Sus scrofa: one gene and its partners. The protein of the gene in region 2 interacts with the protein of the main gene of each other region in a biochemical or structural test. Links are inferred from orthologs where the notes say so. Each region holds a gene or a part of one and is shown on either strand. Other genes may lie near its edges.

Region 1 (3,723 bases), on a different chromosome or scaffold from region 2:
GTTAAGTTGTCTTGATTCTCTGGTGACGTCTTGACTTGTGGTTCTTGGAGTGCAAGGAAAGGAGGGCCATTTGGCAGGGCCTCCTCTGTCCCCTCCTGTGCTTGGCTAACCTTTTGCTCCACGGATCCCCTTGAAGGCGGGCAAAGCTCTTCCGGTTTGCTTCAGAGAACGACCTCCCAGAGTGGAAGGAGCGAGGCACTGGGGACGTCAAGCTTCTGAAGCACAAGGAGAAGGGGACCATCCGCCTCCTCATGCGAAGGGACAAGACACTCAAGATCTGCGCCAATCACTACAGTAGGTGCCTGGGCCAGCGCTCCACAGACCTCCCGGTGAATGTAGACTAGTGGGCGTCAGTCCTGGGCCCAGAGTGGGGATCCCGGGAGAGTCACCTGAGGCCCGGCCGGCGAAGCGGTAATGGCAGGCTCCCCACTGCGTTGGCCTCGGATTGCTGGGCTGCTGAGTGTTCAGGGGATGCGTATCCTGGGCTGTGTCTGCATTGAGGGCGTGTGTCCGGTGGGGCAGGGCCTCTTGTGTGGACGCCCAGGAGCCAGAGGGAAGGTCCTGGTGGGAAGCACAACAGCCTTTGTATGCCAGTCACTGCGTCCCAGCCTGAGTGGCTTCCTCAGGAGCTGCCCCAGCGGCCCCGCCCAGCCTTTCTGCCCTGGACCAGCCTGCAACTTCCAGCTGGATGTGAAGTGCTTCCCCAGGGGTTTTCACTGCCACTGCTTTTCCCAGAGCCCTATGTCACTGGGTTGTTTCTGTGAGCTGCAGAGGGGGTCCGGAACCTGGGGCACAGCACAGCCCTCCTGGGCAGGTGGTGACAAGAAAGGTGCCTCTGGGTGTCCTGTGAACAGGTGGGCTCAGTAGTATCGGGCTGGGCATGTCCCGTGTCTTGGAGGTTTCCTAGAGATCTTTTCCCCCTTGGGTCTGAGAGGGACCCAAGGAGATGGGAGCCAAGTTTGTTCCTGGCTATAGCTCTGTCTTCTATGAGGTACAGGCATGTCACAAGGCTTTTGCTATCCACTTTTGATGGTCTTGTTCCTTGTGGTGTTCCTGGACCATGTGAGGCTGAGAGTCGTTGCCCTGATTTGATCATGTGCCCTCCTGGGTGGTTAGCCTACCTCCTAGCTTCTGTCTTTCTGCTGTGCTCCACCTTCTGTGGACCAGGTCTCTGTGGGCATAGCCAAGCGTGGACAAAGCCTTAGGGGGCGGGGGCGGCAACGGCAGGGCCTGCTAGGCCATGTGGTCCATGCCTGCCCTGGGTGGGGGCTGCTCAGGCAGGGGCCAGGCATGAGCAGACATGCTGGCATCGGAACGTTAGGCTGAGATGGGGTTTGAGACCCTCGTTGGGGTATCTTTGTGGTGGGGACTGGGGTCCCTGTTCCTAGACTTTAAGTGAACACGGGATGTTTTCAAAGAGTCATGGTTTGTAAAACTCAGATCCCAAAGGACTTAATCAAGTCCTGCTTGGTGAACCTCAAGCCAGGCCTGTTTTGTCTGCAGTGGGTGGGAAGGGTGGGCTGGCTTGGCAGCCACACCGTCCTCACGGTGCTTCTCCCTCCAGTCACGCCGATGATGGAGCTGAAACCGAACGCAGGCAGTGACCGTGCCTGGGTCTGGAACACCCACGCTGACTTCGCCGACGAGTGCCCCAAGCAGGAGCTGCTGGCCATTCGCTTCCTTAACGCCGAGAGTAAGTCTCAGGCCAGCCTGACCACCAGTGCCCTTGGTTTCCAGGGAGACTTGACAGCAGCTGGGAAGCATGCGGTGGGGTCTGGTTCTGCCCTGCTGTCTGGTGGGCTCAGGGAATGGAGCTAAATGCCTGTAGGCTGTGCCCAGGGAAGGTGTGTCCTCTCACCATCGCCTGGGTGCCAGCAAGGGCTCTGCCCATGCTGATCTCTCCCCCTGCTGGGCATCCTCCCAGCCTGGGTTGCCTACCCAACCCAGGCGGTCCTGCAGGAGTTGGGTGGGTGCCGGGATTCAGCACCCCAGGAGCTGACGATCTGGTGCTGAGTGGACCTTGCCTCTGCTTTGGGAGTGGCCTGCCCAGTGGCTGCTTCCAGTCCAGGTGGAGAGCAGAGCACGTGGTGAAGTGAGGCTGCCCACCTCTGCCCAGACTGGTGTGCAGTCAGGCAAGGAGGTGGCTGGCTCTCCTGAGGTCATCGTGGCCTGGGACTCGCTGCTCAGGGATCTTAATGGGCATTCTTTTGTATCTTTGCAGACGCACAGAAGTTCAAAACGAAGTTTGAAGAATGCAGAAAAGAAATTGAAGAGAGAGAAAAGAAAGGTGCTGGGTGCTAGTGGAGCTGGGGAGTTTTTAGGGTAGGGTTGCCTATGGGGGGACTCTGCAGACTCGCTCTGCTCCCGGCCGCAGCCCCGGGCGGGTGCTTTTTCTGTCTGCCACAGGAACATCCCGGGGCGCTGTGACCACTTTGACCTGTCAAGGGCAAGGCAGCTGCCCCGGTACATGGTGTGCTTTCTTGGGGGTGAACTGCCAGTCAGGGCCCAAATATGTGCTCTCTGGCCTGGCCTCCCGGCACTCAGCCTAACTGCCAAATCACAGTGTCTGTTGGAGTTCCCCAGGGCAGTAGGGGCTTCTCAGAGGTCCTTGTGGTAATCTACTTGCTTGGGGTCCAGGTGGGAGGACGTGTTTACCTGTGACCCTGGAGGCACATGGAAGGGCAGCCAGTCCCTGGAGCGTGCACAGCTGCAGCGGGGCTGGGCAGAGCAATGCTGCTGCTTCTTACTGCATCCCTGTGCCTTGGCAGGATCTGGCAAAAACGATAGTGCTGAGAAAGTGGCCGAGAAGCTAGAAGCACTCTCGGTGAAGGCGGGCACGGAGCCGCAGGACGAGGCCAAGCAGCCGGCCGAGGAGGAGCAATGAGTCGGCTCCCACGTCCCTTTCTCCCTGTCTTTTCCCTCTTTTCTTTTTTTAAATTTTGCCCTGCCCCTCTTCCGTTTGTTTTTATTCTGTTTTGTTTTTACAAGGGACTTTATATAAAAGAACTGACTTCCGACATTCAGGTTGTTTTTTTTTCTCAGTTATTGCCCTATTGAAGATGACTTCAGAGAACCCCTTCCCCAGTCATGAGAATGTACTCTGCTAACTTTCTTTTCCACAGTGGAAACACTTATTTATAGTCATCAAAATAGTGAATAAATAACACATTTGAAACCTGCATGGAGGCAGGACCGTGTGTGCGCCGGCCCTGTCCTGGGACAGTGGGTTCCTCCATCTCTGCCGTCACACTCCCCCTGCCGTGGCCACTGGGCTGAGGTGGGCAGATGGCCAGGGGAGTGGTGCCGTCCTCTGGCTGCCTTAACAGCCCTGTTCTGCCCTGTGCCTGGGAGCAGGCAGCCTCTTTCTTGGCCTTGGGGGAAGGAAAAGAATCCCACCAGATCCCTTGGCTGTGGCTTCAGGAGGCCATGTGTGTCTCCGGTCTTTGGCCGGGCCACCTTTGGTTGGCCCTCAGCCCCATGGCCACCCTCCGAGAAGACCTGTCTGCTCATGCCTAGCTCTCTGCGTGGCTGGAATTGAGGGTGCCTGCAGTGCCTTTTAGGAGGGCGTTTTCAGGAACACAGATGGTTAGAGCCAATTGGGGCTCATCTTGTAAGGCAGTTCTAAGCAAGGGAGAAGTCTCCACACACACGGGCACTTCTGGGGTGGCCTGTGTCCCAGGAGGCCCCTCAGGCTGTGAGGCACAGGGCAGGACCTGACCCTGG
Region 2 (4,016 bases):
TGATTTAATAAACCATTTATCAACCTCTTGGTGGCACAATGGGCCTACTAAATGTTGGTGGGCTGCTTGCTGTTTCTTCAGCAAAGAACAATCAGTAAAGCTTACTTGGAGGGCACTTGCGGACAAGAGAGACAACCATGTGAAGGGCCACGTGCGTGTGACTTTCATAGAAAATACTACTTGGTGATGATGAAATTTGTGAAGGGTAACTACCCGAAAGGAAAAAGCGAAGGTAAAGGAAGATCAAGGGCAGCTGGCACTCAAGCTTACCCAGCAAAAAGCACAGGATGTTAAACCAATTACAGGGATTACAGTGTCTTAATTTTTAGGAAGAATTGGTTGTTGAAGCAGCCAAATTCCAACCTGGGGAGACGGCGAGTTAAAATTTGAAGGAGACTTGCCCAAGAACTACTTAGGTAACTTTCCCACGTCTCGGAGAGGAGTAAGAGGCGCCAAGGGAGCGTGCCCCATACCTCACCCCAACCTCTCAACATCTCGGCCCCAAACCCGGTCTGGGGCCTACGACTGGCCTCCGTTGTGTTGTTTTCGCTCCTTTTTTCCACCCCGCCCCTCTCCGATTAAAAAAAAACTGGGTGTGCCCTAGTTTTTGCACAGCCCCCATCCGATGGGTGGGGGACAGGTCCCGACCACTGCGGGTTAAGGCCCTGCAGCTAGGCGGGAGCCGGCGGGGGCCGACCAACGCGAGTCCGGGAGTAGCCGAGCGGACGCAGGCGGCCGCGCGCCGCGCTTAAACTCGCGCCTCCACCAGCTCACGAGCTGCGCCCCACCCGCTTCGTCACCAAAGGCGCCCAGCCAATGAACGGGCCGGAAAGGCCGGGCCTGCGGGCTAAGCCCTGGGAGGGGGAGCGGAGGGAGGAGGACGGGAAGTTGAGGGCGGGCTATATTTGATTGACAGACCTCTCGAACCAATCTTCCGCGCGGCTTCTCTTCGCTCTCTACTCTGCTCTGCTTAGCTCTTCGTCCCACCTTCTCCTCTTCCACCCCCCCTCCTCGCTCCTTTGCGACCCGCCCCACTTCCCTTCCCCCACTCTGCGGGCAAATCGCTGCTGGAAAGAGGCGGGGGCCGAAGCGGCGGGCTCGTGTGGAGCCTAGAGCAGAGATTGATGGGCGATATGACCAATAGGAGGTAGGCTGATGGCGCGGCTATGGCTGGAAGCGGCCAATGGGCAAGCGGACTGGGGGCGGAGGCCCAGGTTCCAAACGCTCCGCGGCGCCATGGGCTGAAAACTCAACCGAGATGGAATCTCCCAGTCTGAACCGGTTTCAACCGGTTCCGAGTTTGAGGCACTAGGAGGAGGGGGAGAAGCGGCTGCAGCGGCCGCGGCAGGAGCAGCGGGAGCTACAGCATCAGCAAGAGCAACAGTAGCTACAGCCCCGGCGGCGGTGCCTGTTCCAGTCTTTGCTGCTGCAGTCCGTGCAACCACCCAGAGGGGGAGGGGGGAACCACCAGTCGCTGAGGAGCAAGAGAAGGGGGGAAAGTTTAGGCGAGCCTGGGTGGGGGGGGCCCAGCACCGGAGCCGCGTGAGAGAGGGAGCCGTATTTTGGTAGGGGGGAGTCGGACTGTAACTGGCAGCAGAGCGTCCCCCGACCGTGTGGACTCTACACCCCCTACTCCTGCCGCTCCTGCTGCCGCCTGTGGCTGGAGGGTCCCCCTGGGGCTGAATCTTTGGGACCTGACCCGGTTCCCCTCCCCCTTCCCTCACGCCCCAGCCAGGCGGGAGCATTTATTCCACATATTAATTCCCCTTCTTTTTTTGGGGGGGAGGGTGGGTGTGTGTGTCGGGGGGAGGTGTCCCTGAGATAGTAAATATTGAGCTTTTTTTTTTTTTTTTGCCCTTATCGCCTTCGTTTTTTTTTTAATTTCTTTTTTTAAGGTGGGGAAACTGTGAAACCCACCTTGATTTCCTCCCCTCTTCCCCCCCTCCCCATCTTCCCTCGCCCTAATCCCCCGACAAGGAAGGAAGAAGCAGTTGGTTCAATCTCTGGGTAAGTCGACTGTGTCTTCGGGGCCGAGGGTCGGGCGGCGGCGCGGCCGGGCGGGAGGAGGCTGGTGTGGGGCGCGGCGGCGGCCGCGGGAGACGAGCCGGGGAGGCGGCGGCGGGCCCACAGCACAGCCTGCGATTGAATGGAGCCGCTTCTGCCGCTGGGGGATGGAGGCGGGGAGGCGGCCGCGGGAGGGGAGCGCTTGCTTGGGTCATTCGCGTGTGCGGGTAGCGGTGGAGGAAGGCAAGGAGCGTGATAGTGAAGTGGGGCCCGGCGCGGGAGTGGAAGGGCTTCCCCAGCCCAAGGGGCCGGGGAGAAGTTAGGGTGATTTCAGGAACATCTCAGGAAATTATTAGGAGTGGAAGTTTCCAGAAATATTTAGTGCAGCAGCATTGAAACGTCCGCCTGCATCACGTGGCCCCTCGGTGGAGAGCTTGGGATCGCGGGAGGGAGGGGCTGATGCCTGCTCCTCCTGCAGGGAAACTCAGAATCTTTGGGTTTTTGCAAAGTAGGATTAAAAGTAGGGAAGGTTATTTGGTTTTTTTGGGGGGGGGGAATCTGCAGGTGAGGTTCCATGCTGTAGTTTTGCTTTCACGGACTTGAGTGTGTTAAGTGATCAAAACGTTTACTGCTGGCGCTGTACAGTGGACAATATCCTGATTCTGCTTCATTCCGATGTCTGAGTTTGGGGTGGGTGGAAGGAAGCGGTGTACTAGAGGAAGCATTAAAGATCTGCCCAGCACGGACCTCTGATCACGCAGAGGCCATGCTGCATTGAGAATGGGGCGGTGAACTTCAGGCGCCTGGTCTAAATGCCTCCTCCGAGTATGGGCGGGGTGAGTGCGTGCTCCAGTATGCTATAGTTAGAAGTGCTGCGGATCGGTTCGGGTGGGAAGAGAGGGGAGGGCGGGCCTTAGTGAGGTGTGTTTCTACTGAATGAAGCAGGCAATTGCCCACACACCTAAAGTAGCAGTCTTTCTCCTTGTAGCGACTTGTTTTTTGACCTACTATGTAGTTATCATTAAGCAACGGTTATGATTTTTTGGCTTTTGGATGGGAGCTGGCAGTGTGTAGCTGCCAGTTTGAAGTGGCTGTGAAGGTATTTTGGTAGTCACTTGTAGAGTCACCACATGGCTGGACAGTACCTTGTATTTGCTGTGCAGTGAGTGGAATTTAGCATTGAGTGTCCCAAGGAACGGAGAAAGCTTTTGTGGTTTCTTTCACCTCCCGCTTTGGCTGTTTTGCTATCTGCTTGATTGTGTATCTTAAGCGCGTTGGACACTGCTGTTGGTGGAAAGAATGTTTTGGAAGCTATTTAATTTGGGAGACTAAATGTGCTTGGCATTGACCAGAAAGCCGCCATTTCTGTACTACGTACAGTTTAAGACTAGGTAGGTCATTTCGAAGATAGGCGCTAGTTCTAAGGGTGGCATACCCTGCTGTATTTAACAGAAGCTTCTATTCTAAACCTGCTTTTTCACAGGATTTGTCTTGAACTCTGTAAAGACAATGTACTTGAAAATGAAACTTTTTATAGTTACTTTATTTTTTGTTTTGGCTATTACATTATGATAGGACTAAATAGGAGAAAAGTTCGTTCAGTTTTTAATTAACTCCCCCCCATAGAACATTTGATATGTAGATCTTGATTCTTCGTGGACATTGCTTTTCAGGCTCAATTTTTAAGATTGTTCTGATCCTTTAAAATTACATGACACTTGAAGGGGAGAGATTTAACGCTTTAATTTGTGAAATATATATTTCCTTTTTTGTATTAATATTTAGGTCAAAGATTATGTTAGGTAGTAACTGCTGGTAGAAATTTTTGAAATCTCATCAGTTTTGTTGTCAATGGATCAAAAAACTTGAATGAAAGTCCTTAAACTCTTAATTTCTCAATTTTTACATTATATCTTATATTTTATCTGATTGATCTTTCCGACTTTTACTTTGTCGTAACTGACATTATCATTAAGACATTCGAGTTGAAATTACTGCCATTTTTAAGAATA
Region 3 (4,314 bases), on a different chromosome or scaffold from region 2:
GGCTCTGGTTGGACCCCTGGCCTGGGAACTTCCACCTGCTGCAGTCACAGCCCCCCAAAAAAAACAACTTCACCTTATAAACTCTGAATTTGGGAAGCACCCTAACATATTACTAAATTTGTCTAAAACCAACTAAAATATAACTAATGTTTCAAGGCAAAGTAAAACCCAAGTACCCAGATTATTTAAGAAAATCAAACCTCAACTGTCAAATGCAAGTTCACTGAATGGAGAACTGTTTATTGCAATGATTCATTGTGAAGGACATTATTGAATTTCAAAGCACATGCGACTTGCGCACATCTCAGATTTGCTTATAGAGAGAGTGGGCTCAATTGACATTTTAATATAAAGTACACATTCTGAAAAATGCCAGGCTGCAACGGCACAGAAAGGACACTAATTAATTGGGGCACCGCTGGTCCTGTCACAGACATCACTCTAAGCTGACCCTCAGCTTTAAAGCTTTGTGCAGAATTACTGGACTTGACCAGTATAACATGTACTGTCAGCACTCAAATGCCAACGGTGTTCACGAAAGTGCCACAGACAACCTTTCTTGCCCCAAGTGTCATCTGAAACAGGGAGCAGAGGGAAAAGTCCCACCCACGGGGACAGGGTTACTCCTTGTGTAAGGAGAAGCGACTGGAAGCTGGGGATCCTCGATGCACGCGGAATGCTGCTCCCCCTTGACTGTTTCCACACAGCTCCCAAGAATTTTCAAGTTCTACTTATGATCAAAAGGGCCAAGGACATTACTGTCAACTAGGACTTGTGGTTTTTAACTTTGCGGGGAGCACCAACCCCTCCGTGGACAGGAGAACAGTTCTCTGTAGATAAAGTTGTAAAGGATCCACACGCCTCAGGGGAAGGAAGGGCTCACGCCTTAGGTCAGAGCCGAATCATGGACTCTGGATCCTGAGAAATGACTTAAGTCCAACCTCCCCAGGAACCTGGAATAGGAAAATGGCTTGTCCAAGGTCAACGGTGAGTTAGAAATGGAATCAGGCAAGAAGTAAGCAACTCAGAGATTTTGAAGCAAGCCAACCAGTGTCACCAAGTAACGTTTTCTTATACAAAGAAAGTTCCAACAGAAACCAAGAGCTAACTACAGCAACAGAAGTTTTAAGTAGAACCTAAAGGAACCCACGCGAGTGCTGTGGTTCAAAAATGCCTAAGCTGAAAACAGGACCAGAAAGCTTGCAAGGCACTCACCATGTTCCACAAAAACATTGCAGTGTGGGCCCCCGTGTCTCGAGGAGTCCTTCTTCCCTGCGCCTTTGATAAAGTGCAGGGCAGGCAAACTTGGCCGTCTTTGGTCCCCAAGAACTTTTCCAGGCTGCTGCCCCATAAAGTAACAGTAGGCACCCCTTTCCGGAAGAGGGTTCAAGATCTTTCAGAATGGGCAGTGAGCTAGAAGGAAAACAGTATGTATGTGGGATTTCACATTCACTGCATCGCCACAAGTCAGTCACTGAGGTCAGTCACAACAAGGCATCTTCTCCCATAAGGAAAGGAAGCGAAGATTTCAGGTTGACAATATGTAAACAGGAGTTCCGATTATTTTCGCAGTTGATCAACTTGAAGTCATATCAGGGCAATGGGACCCAAGCTGCTTGATTTTGTGTCCTTTACTGGCTGAGTAACAGCTTCTTCCCTTTCAAGGAGAAAAACCTAAACAGAAATATTCACAGGGGATGCTGTAAGACGGTCAGTAAGGCTCAAGTCATTTCGATTCCCACACATCAAGGAAATGTTGCTTGTCTTTGGATGCGCCTCCAGAACTTTTCCTGGGGAAGTCACCCACCCCCTATCTCGGTGTCTTCATCTTCCGCGGCAGATTTCCTGCCGCACTAGCTGCCGCTCCTCGCCTGCTTCTCTACCCTGCTCTCCGGAAAAGGACACGGGTCACCCGGCCTTCAGAGAGAGCTGGCCCTCGACTCTGACGAGAAGGAATGCATTGCCAGCAACTTTTAAGTCCGCTTTTTAAAAGGCCTGTGAAACCAGTCCAGGCTTTTCCTTTGCATTAAAGTTTCTGGCTGGGCTGAGACTAAGGGGGCCGTAGGTGACATTGGAAGAAGTCAGGGCATTAGAGGCTCACGGGAGCAACCTGGGGGCAAGGGGAGGCCACTTGACAGCAGGAAGGGGATTTGAATGGGGGCTCCGAGGCCACACTTGAACCCAGGAGGCAGGAGCAAGGGGCGGCTCGGGGGTAAGAGGGAGGCTGCCAGGGCGGGGCGCGGGCGGCTTACTTCGGGAGCGACGCTCCTCCACGCCTCAGGAATCGGGGTGTCCCAGGTCTGGGGAAAGAGACCACCCTCAGGGTCCCAGAGTCGGGGCTGGGCTGGAAGGGGCGAAGGACTCCCGAGGCTCCGAGGGCGGGAAGCGGGCGGAGGGGGGTAGGCCCGGCCGCCTCAGCTGCCCCTAACCTGGGGGGGGTCTCTGCCAGAGACACCCCCTCCCCCGGCCCCGGACGTTGCTACGGCCGCCGCCGTCAGGCGGTCACATCCCCCGAGCTCCGCCGCGGGACCCAACCTCCCCCAGCAGGTTAGGGCCGTGGGCAACGGAAGGGCTCCTCAACCGCGGGACCCGGGAACCGGCTCCGGCTCCAGCGCTGCTCAGGGACGGTCACCGACCCCCGTGGCCGCCATGATGGATTACGAGCAGCTCCACAACGAGGCCAGGCCCCGCCCCTGGCCCCGCCCCCGGTGACGTCCCGTGCGCACCTCGCGGGGACCCGGACCCTCTCGGCGCCGCTTTCGGGTACGCCGCAGCGCCTTTCGGCTCCAGCCTCCTTGCCCGCGAGGGCCGGGTCCTGCAGGACCTGTTAAAATGTGGTTTTTTCCCGAGAGCAAGGCGAGTGGTAAGGAAGCTCCCGCCTCCCCTGTACTGCCTTTGGTTCGCGAGAATCCGGGTCAGGGCTCTCTCCTGCATCCCATTGGCCAGTAGGGACAGTGGGGTAGAGCTTCTAGCCAACCACCTTCGGCGCAGCTCGCAAGGCGTGGCGGGAGTTGTGGTCCTGCGGCGCCCGCCCCTGTCGGTGCTCACCCGAGGCTTGCCCTCTGCTCCCGCTCCTGAGCTTCGTCCCGCCCTCCTGGGAGCCGGTGAACTCTAGCCGGCTTCGCGTAGGGCTGGCCAATGTCTCCCCTGAGCTGTTAGTAGACCGGCGAGAAACCAAAGCAAGGAGAAAACTGCGGATTGGATTTTCCCAGAACCGGAGTTGGATCACTTCCTTGAGCCTCTTTGAGAAAATTTAGCTCGCTCCTGGAAACCAAGGTATTTGGTGCCTTCACCGCTCCACCCCCCGCCTCCATTCCCACCTTTTCTCCAAGAAACATAAATATTAGTACCAGCGAAAAATAAACAACTGGAAAGCATCCGACAGACTGCTAACGAATTATTTCTTCGGAATATCAGGAGGCTCATTCTAAAGAAACAGCATTTGTTAAGAGCCTTTCGGAGGCTAAGCCAGGCACAATCATAGACGTTTGGGTGAGCAGGAAACTTTGAACTTAAACTCATACAGTGACGTGTGTTAATTTTTTCTCAATAAAACTGGGGGAATAAAAGGGGAGGGGTTAAACAGTTCAGAGATGTACAGGTATTCACATGAAAACCTCTTAGTCGAGATTGTTTAGTAGGCCTGCAGAGCTAGCCAGTGACCCAGACACACCAAATCCACACCTGCCATAACCCATTTAAATATGCAACTAAAATGTACCCTAACCCCCAATTCACCACTCCCCATGTCTCCCCAGAGCAGTGCACCTACCAGACCAGGATATACCCATTTCTAAAGGATCCACTCATCACAACACGGGTCTATACTAGGCCTATTACGCTTTTCATAAACTGGATGCTCATTTAATCCTCACTGCAGACAGCGAGGCATGTAATATCATTCCCCATATACAGATGAGGTGACTTATGGTGGGCTCGTTCTGTAAGAGTCACTATTTGAGCCCAGACTGACCTTGCTCCAAAGCCTTTGGTTTTTTTTGTTGTACCACTCCCATAACTGTTGACCTGACATTAGGCAATTGACTTCTTAGAAGTCGCACTATTAGTGGGGGGACACCATAGTCATAGTACAGACACTGTACTTTCCATTATTGGATGGTGTATTTTAGACATTTCTGCCGGATTGGGAAATGGTGCTGATGAGTTTATAGATATTGGCTTCAAAAAAGTCACTGGGAAGTACTGAATTAGGAAGCCTATGAAAACGTGTGCCCAATTTTAGAACTGGAGTTTACCTTCAGATGTTGATTGGGTTAGCTTTGCTGTCAGAAAGTAGTCTGGCTGATGAACTTG
Region 4 (3,560 bases), on a different chromosome or scaffold from region 2:
AATGTATTTATCTAAACAGATCTAAGTAATATTAATTAATGTTGAGAATACACAGAGGAGTCTGGAAAATTACAGAAACTTCAGAGTAGTTTACCTTTGGGGTGGTAGAGTGAATGGGAAAGGGGCAGGCGGATTCTTTTACTCGATGTATTTCCAATTTTCTAATGATACAAGTGTGTTAACGGTGTAAAAGTTTGAAAAACGAGTAGTATGCCCCATTATAGATTTTTTTTTTTTTTTTGATTTTAAACACTTTTAAAAAAAGGACTTGAAATTCCTTGTAACCAGGTCCTGCTAGCAGAAACAGAAGGGCTTATGAAACCATCTCACACTGGATTCCAAGTCTACGAGTTGAAAAGTTGGGAAACATTTAGGAACTGAAAAAGACTACTGATTTCAAACTGCCCATTCCCATTGAAGATCTTACTTTATAACATCAACTGCTTTTCATCCCAGGAAACCCCCAGTGGCTAGCTGTCAAAGGCAAGGGGATGTGAGGGCTCACCTGGTTCTGAGTCAGAATTGCCTGCAGATGGCTCGCAGAAGGTTGATGGCATAAAAACATTGTTTTTTGATACTGTCGACAAAGAGGTGCAGGCAGGGGAGGGAACAAGAGGAAAAACAGTGTGAGTAGGTGGGGCAGATGTGCAAGGGATCACTTCCCTCACCTGAGGGCTCATCTCCAGGCCCCCACTGTTAGGGGGAGGGAGTCAGCATTAAGGCTCCGGCCTTTAGCCACTCCCAATAAAAGTGACCCAGGGACTCTTTCTACGGCAAAAGTGGGTCAGAGCAGGCTTAAACTGACACTGAGCAGTCGGCTCTGGTCCTCCATGGCCACCTGCCTTGTCCTCATGCCCCTGAAGAGGCAGTCAGGAGGGAAATGGACGCCCCAGATGTTCTGAGTCTCCCCTGGGGCTGAATCTCAGACCCTGCTCCTTGTCATACTCAGCTGCAATCTGCCTCCCCTCACCTATCCAGGATCTTACTCCACAATATCAACTGCTTCCTGGGAGCAGACCAAGCAATAGTGTAGCAGGGCTGAAGAACTAACTGTGCTGACAGAGGGCAGCTAAGTGGGCTCAGAGGCACTGCTGTCTCTCCACTTCCCTAATGGCTGAGGGCTAAGCAGCTCCTGGGTGGTGATGCATGAAAGGAGAAGGACAATGTCTAGTGGTCCTCTGCCCCTTCGGCCTGGGACCACAGCACAAATCACCTCCTTTCTCCCCCACTGCAGAAAGTGTAGTTCAGCAGTGGGTGGAGGATGGGAAGGAACACAATCAATGGCTAGGGAGCACAAGTTCCCTTCTATAGTTAGGGCCATGTAACAGGCGTGCAGAGATCCTTAAAAACAGGATGTCAGGAGTTCCCGTCGTGGCGCAGTGGTTAACGAATCCGACTAGGAACCATGAGGTTGCGGGTTCGGTCCCTGCCCTTGCTCAGTGGGTTAACGATCCAGCGTTGCCATGAGCTGTAGTGTAGGTTGCAGATGCGGCTCAGATCCTGCGTTGCTGTGGCTCTGGCGTAGGCCAGTGGCTACAGCTCTGATTCAACCCCTAGCCTGGGAACCTCCATATGCCACGGGAGCAGCCCAAGAAAAATGGCAAAAAGACAAAAAAAAAAAAAAACCAAAAAAAACCAGGATGTCAACCACAGCCTGGACTGCAAATCGTCTAGACAGCTTCCCAAAGCCTGGTAGGTGAAAGACAGTGCCTCTATTCAAGAGGAGTCTCCCACAGTGTGGAAAAAGGACATGTCAATGTCCAAAGTCAGTGTTCAGGGGAACAGGTATAAAACCAAGTGTGTCACAGGGATGATCTTAAAAGGACATTCACTCTCTACCATGTACACTCCTGTGATGTGTGCATTGCTCTTTTTTTTCTTTTTCTTTTTAAAAATTTTATGGTTGCACCCGCAGCATATGGAGGTTCCTGGGCCAGGGATTGAATCTGAGCCACAGTGGTGACCTATGCCACAGGTGCAATGCGGGATCCTTTAACCCACTACATTGAGCTGTGGATCGAACCTGCACCCCTTGCAGTGACCCCAGCCACTGCAGTTGGATTCTTTTTTTTGCTTTTTAGGGCATATGGAGGTTCCCAGGCTAGGGGTCAAATCGGAGCTACAGCTGCTGGCCTACACCACAGCCACAGCAATGCAGGATCTGAGCCTACACTGCAGCTCTCGGCAACACCAGATCCTTAACTCACTGAGTGAGGCCAGGGATTGAACCCGCATCCTCATGGATACTAGTCGGGTTCGTTACTGCTGAGCCACACCAGGAACTCCTGCATTACTCTAAGTAGAAACAAAGCTTACAGGAATGTCTTTTCTCCCTTCAAGTGGATACCCTTAAGGCTCACAGTTGTAAATGTTTTACATGAATTCCCAAGAATGAACTTCAAGCTGGGGAGTTGGAGAGAGTCTCTAAGGCAGCAGAGAGCATGGAATGATTCCAGAGTGGACCAAGCCAGGACACAGTAGGGGCAGGGGTGCGCCAAGCCCTGCTGCAGCTTTTACCCTCCAAAGCACTGGGGCGTGCCCAGGCCTGCAGAGCCTCCCACTAAGGAGCCCGGCATCTACCCTGGGAACCCATCTCTTTCTTGCACCAGCCTTTGTACACCAGCTGATCTGCTGGCCTCTGCGTTTGTGCAGACTTTTCCTTCAGCCTCCAGCTTCCAAGCCCTTGGGCACAACCACTCCACAGGGATGGGATCCTGGTCTGGCCAACCCTTCCAGGCTTCCCTAAGATCCCCTCCCCTTTGGGAGCTCACAACATTCCACCGCCAAAGTGTCTGCTACGGCCACTTGGCTCACTGTGTGTGTGTGTGTGTGTGTGTGTGTGTGTGTGTGTCTGGGCTTCTCAAGTGGACCACCAAGCTCTAGGCACATGACTAAAGGGTCAGGACGACACCCCGCTTCCCACAGCTTCAGTTTACAGACATAGCCAGCTGGCAGTTTGTGCAAGGTGAATGCGTAAAGAGCCCTGACGGTCCTTTTCCAGGGCTGACTTCATGGGCCTTCCTAATTAATTATTCCACTAGTTCCCAATCCTCTGTAAGTGTCACTGATTCCAGACAGGGGCACCTGTGCTACACGCAAGAACACTCTAACCTCACTCCTGACAGAGACTGGGCCTCGGGTTGATTCTAACCAGATGTGCATGCGGAACAGACCAGGGGTGTGAGACGCTGGAGGGGAGCAGCGGGCTTACACACATGGATGCTTTTACCATCCAATAAAGGTCTGCAACCATTACCTGACTGTGAAGGTGGGAACTGTGTTAAAGAGGACGTTCTTTCTCGTTTGACAGGAGGGCAGTAATTTCCATCTTCTCGGTCGGAATCTACAGAAAATAAGGAAGAAGGGGAGAAAAATCAGGCTGCTTCTACTTTTACAACCAAAGATGGTGAAACATTTGAGAGATGTCCTCACCTTCTCCACCTTCGGGGCTGGAGCCTCCGGCTGACCTCTGGAACGAGAACACATGTCAGGGTAGTCAGAGAGGGCTGAGCTGCCCAGGGCCCTGAGTTCTGCCACGAACGGATCCCAAAATGCAGTGC

The links.
Region 1: the proteins of XPO1 (region 2) and RANBP1 form a complex in vitro, tested with the Homo sapiens proteins (3 studies listed by BioGRID, with this or other methods). The link is inferred for Sus scrofa from reciprocal best matches to the Homo sapiens genes XPO1 and RANBP1.
Region 3: the proteins of XPO1 (region 2) and ABL1 interact in a test that uses a peptide from one of them, tested with the Homo sapiens proteins (2 studies listed by BioGRID). The link is inferred for Sus scrofa from reciprocal best matches to the Homo sapiens genes XPO1 and ABL1.
Region 4: the proteins of XPO1 (region 2) and RANBP3 form a complex in vitro, tested with the Homo sapiens proteins (2 studies listed by BioGRID). The link is inferred for Sus scrofa from reciprocal best matches to the Homo sapiens genes XPO1 and RANBP3.

The regions. Positions count from the first base shown.
Region 1 is NC_010456.5:51,497,242-51,500,964, forward strand, and holds the end of RANBP1 (ran-specific GTPase-activating protein), read left to right. Parts: intron 1-136; coding exon 137-294; intron 295-1,564; coding exon 1,565-1,693; intron 1,694-2,221; coding exon 2,222-2,287; intron 2,288-2,768; coding exon 2,769-2,884; 3' UTR 2,885-3,179; downstream 3,180-3,723. UniProt on the Homo sapiens protein: Plays a role in RAN-dependent nucleocytoplasmic transport. Alleviates the TNPO1-dependent inhibition of RAN GTPase activity and mediates the dissociation of RAN from proteins involved in transport into the nucleus.
Region 2 is NC_010445.4:80,253,823-80,257,838, forward strand, and holds the start of XPO1 (exportin-1), read left to right. Parts: upstream 1-1,193; 5' UTR 1,194-2,007; intron 2,008-4,016. UniProt on the Homo sapiens protein: Mediates the nuclear export of cellular proteins (cargos) bearing a leucine-rich nuclear export signal (NES) and of RNAs.
Region 3 is NC_010443.5:270,760,186-270,764,499, reverse strand, and holds the start of ABL1 (tyrosine-protein kinase ABL1), read right to left. Parts: upstream 2,860-4,314; 5' UTR 2,727-2,859; intron 2,672-2,726; exon of another isoform or gene 2,253-2,671; intron 1,675-2,252; 5' UTR 1,352-1,674; coding exon 1,216-1,351; intron 1-1,215. UniProt on the Homo sapiens protein: Non-receptor tyrosine-protein kinase that plays a role in many key processes linked to cell growth and survival such as cytoskeleton remodeling in response to extracellular stimuli, cell motility and adhesion, receptor endocytosis, autophagy, DNA damage response and apoptosis.
Region 4 is NC_010444.4:73,100,949-73,104,508, reverse strand, and holds part of RANBP3 (ran-binding protein 3), read right to left. Parts: intron 3,470-3,560; coding exon 3,433-3,469; intron 3,344-3,432; coding exon 3,257-3,343; intron 578-3,256; coding exon 506-577; intron 1-505. UniProt on the Homo sapiens protein: Acts as a cofactor for XPO1/CRM1-mediated nuclear export, perhaps as export complex scaffolding protein. Bound to XPO1/CRM1, stabilizes the XPO1/CRM1-cargo interaction. In the absence of Ran-bound GTP prevents binding of XPO1/CRM1 to the nuclear pore complex.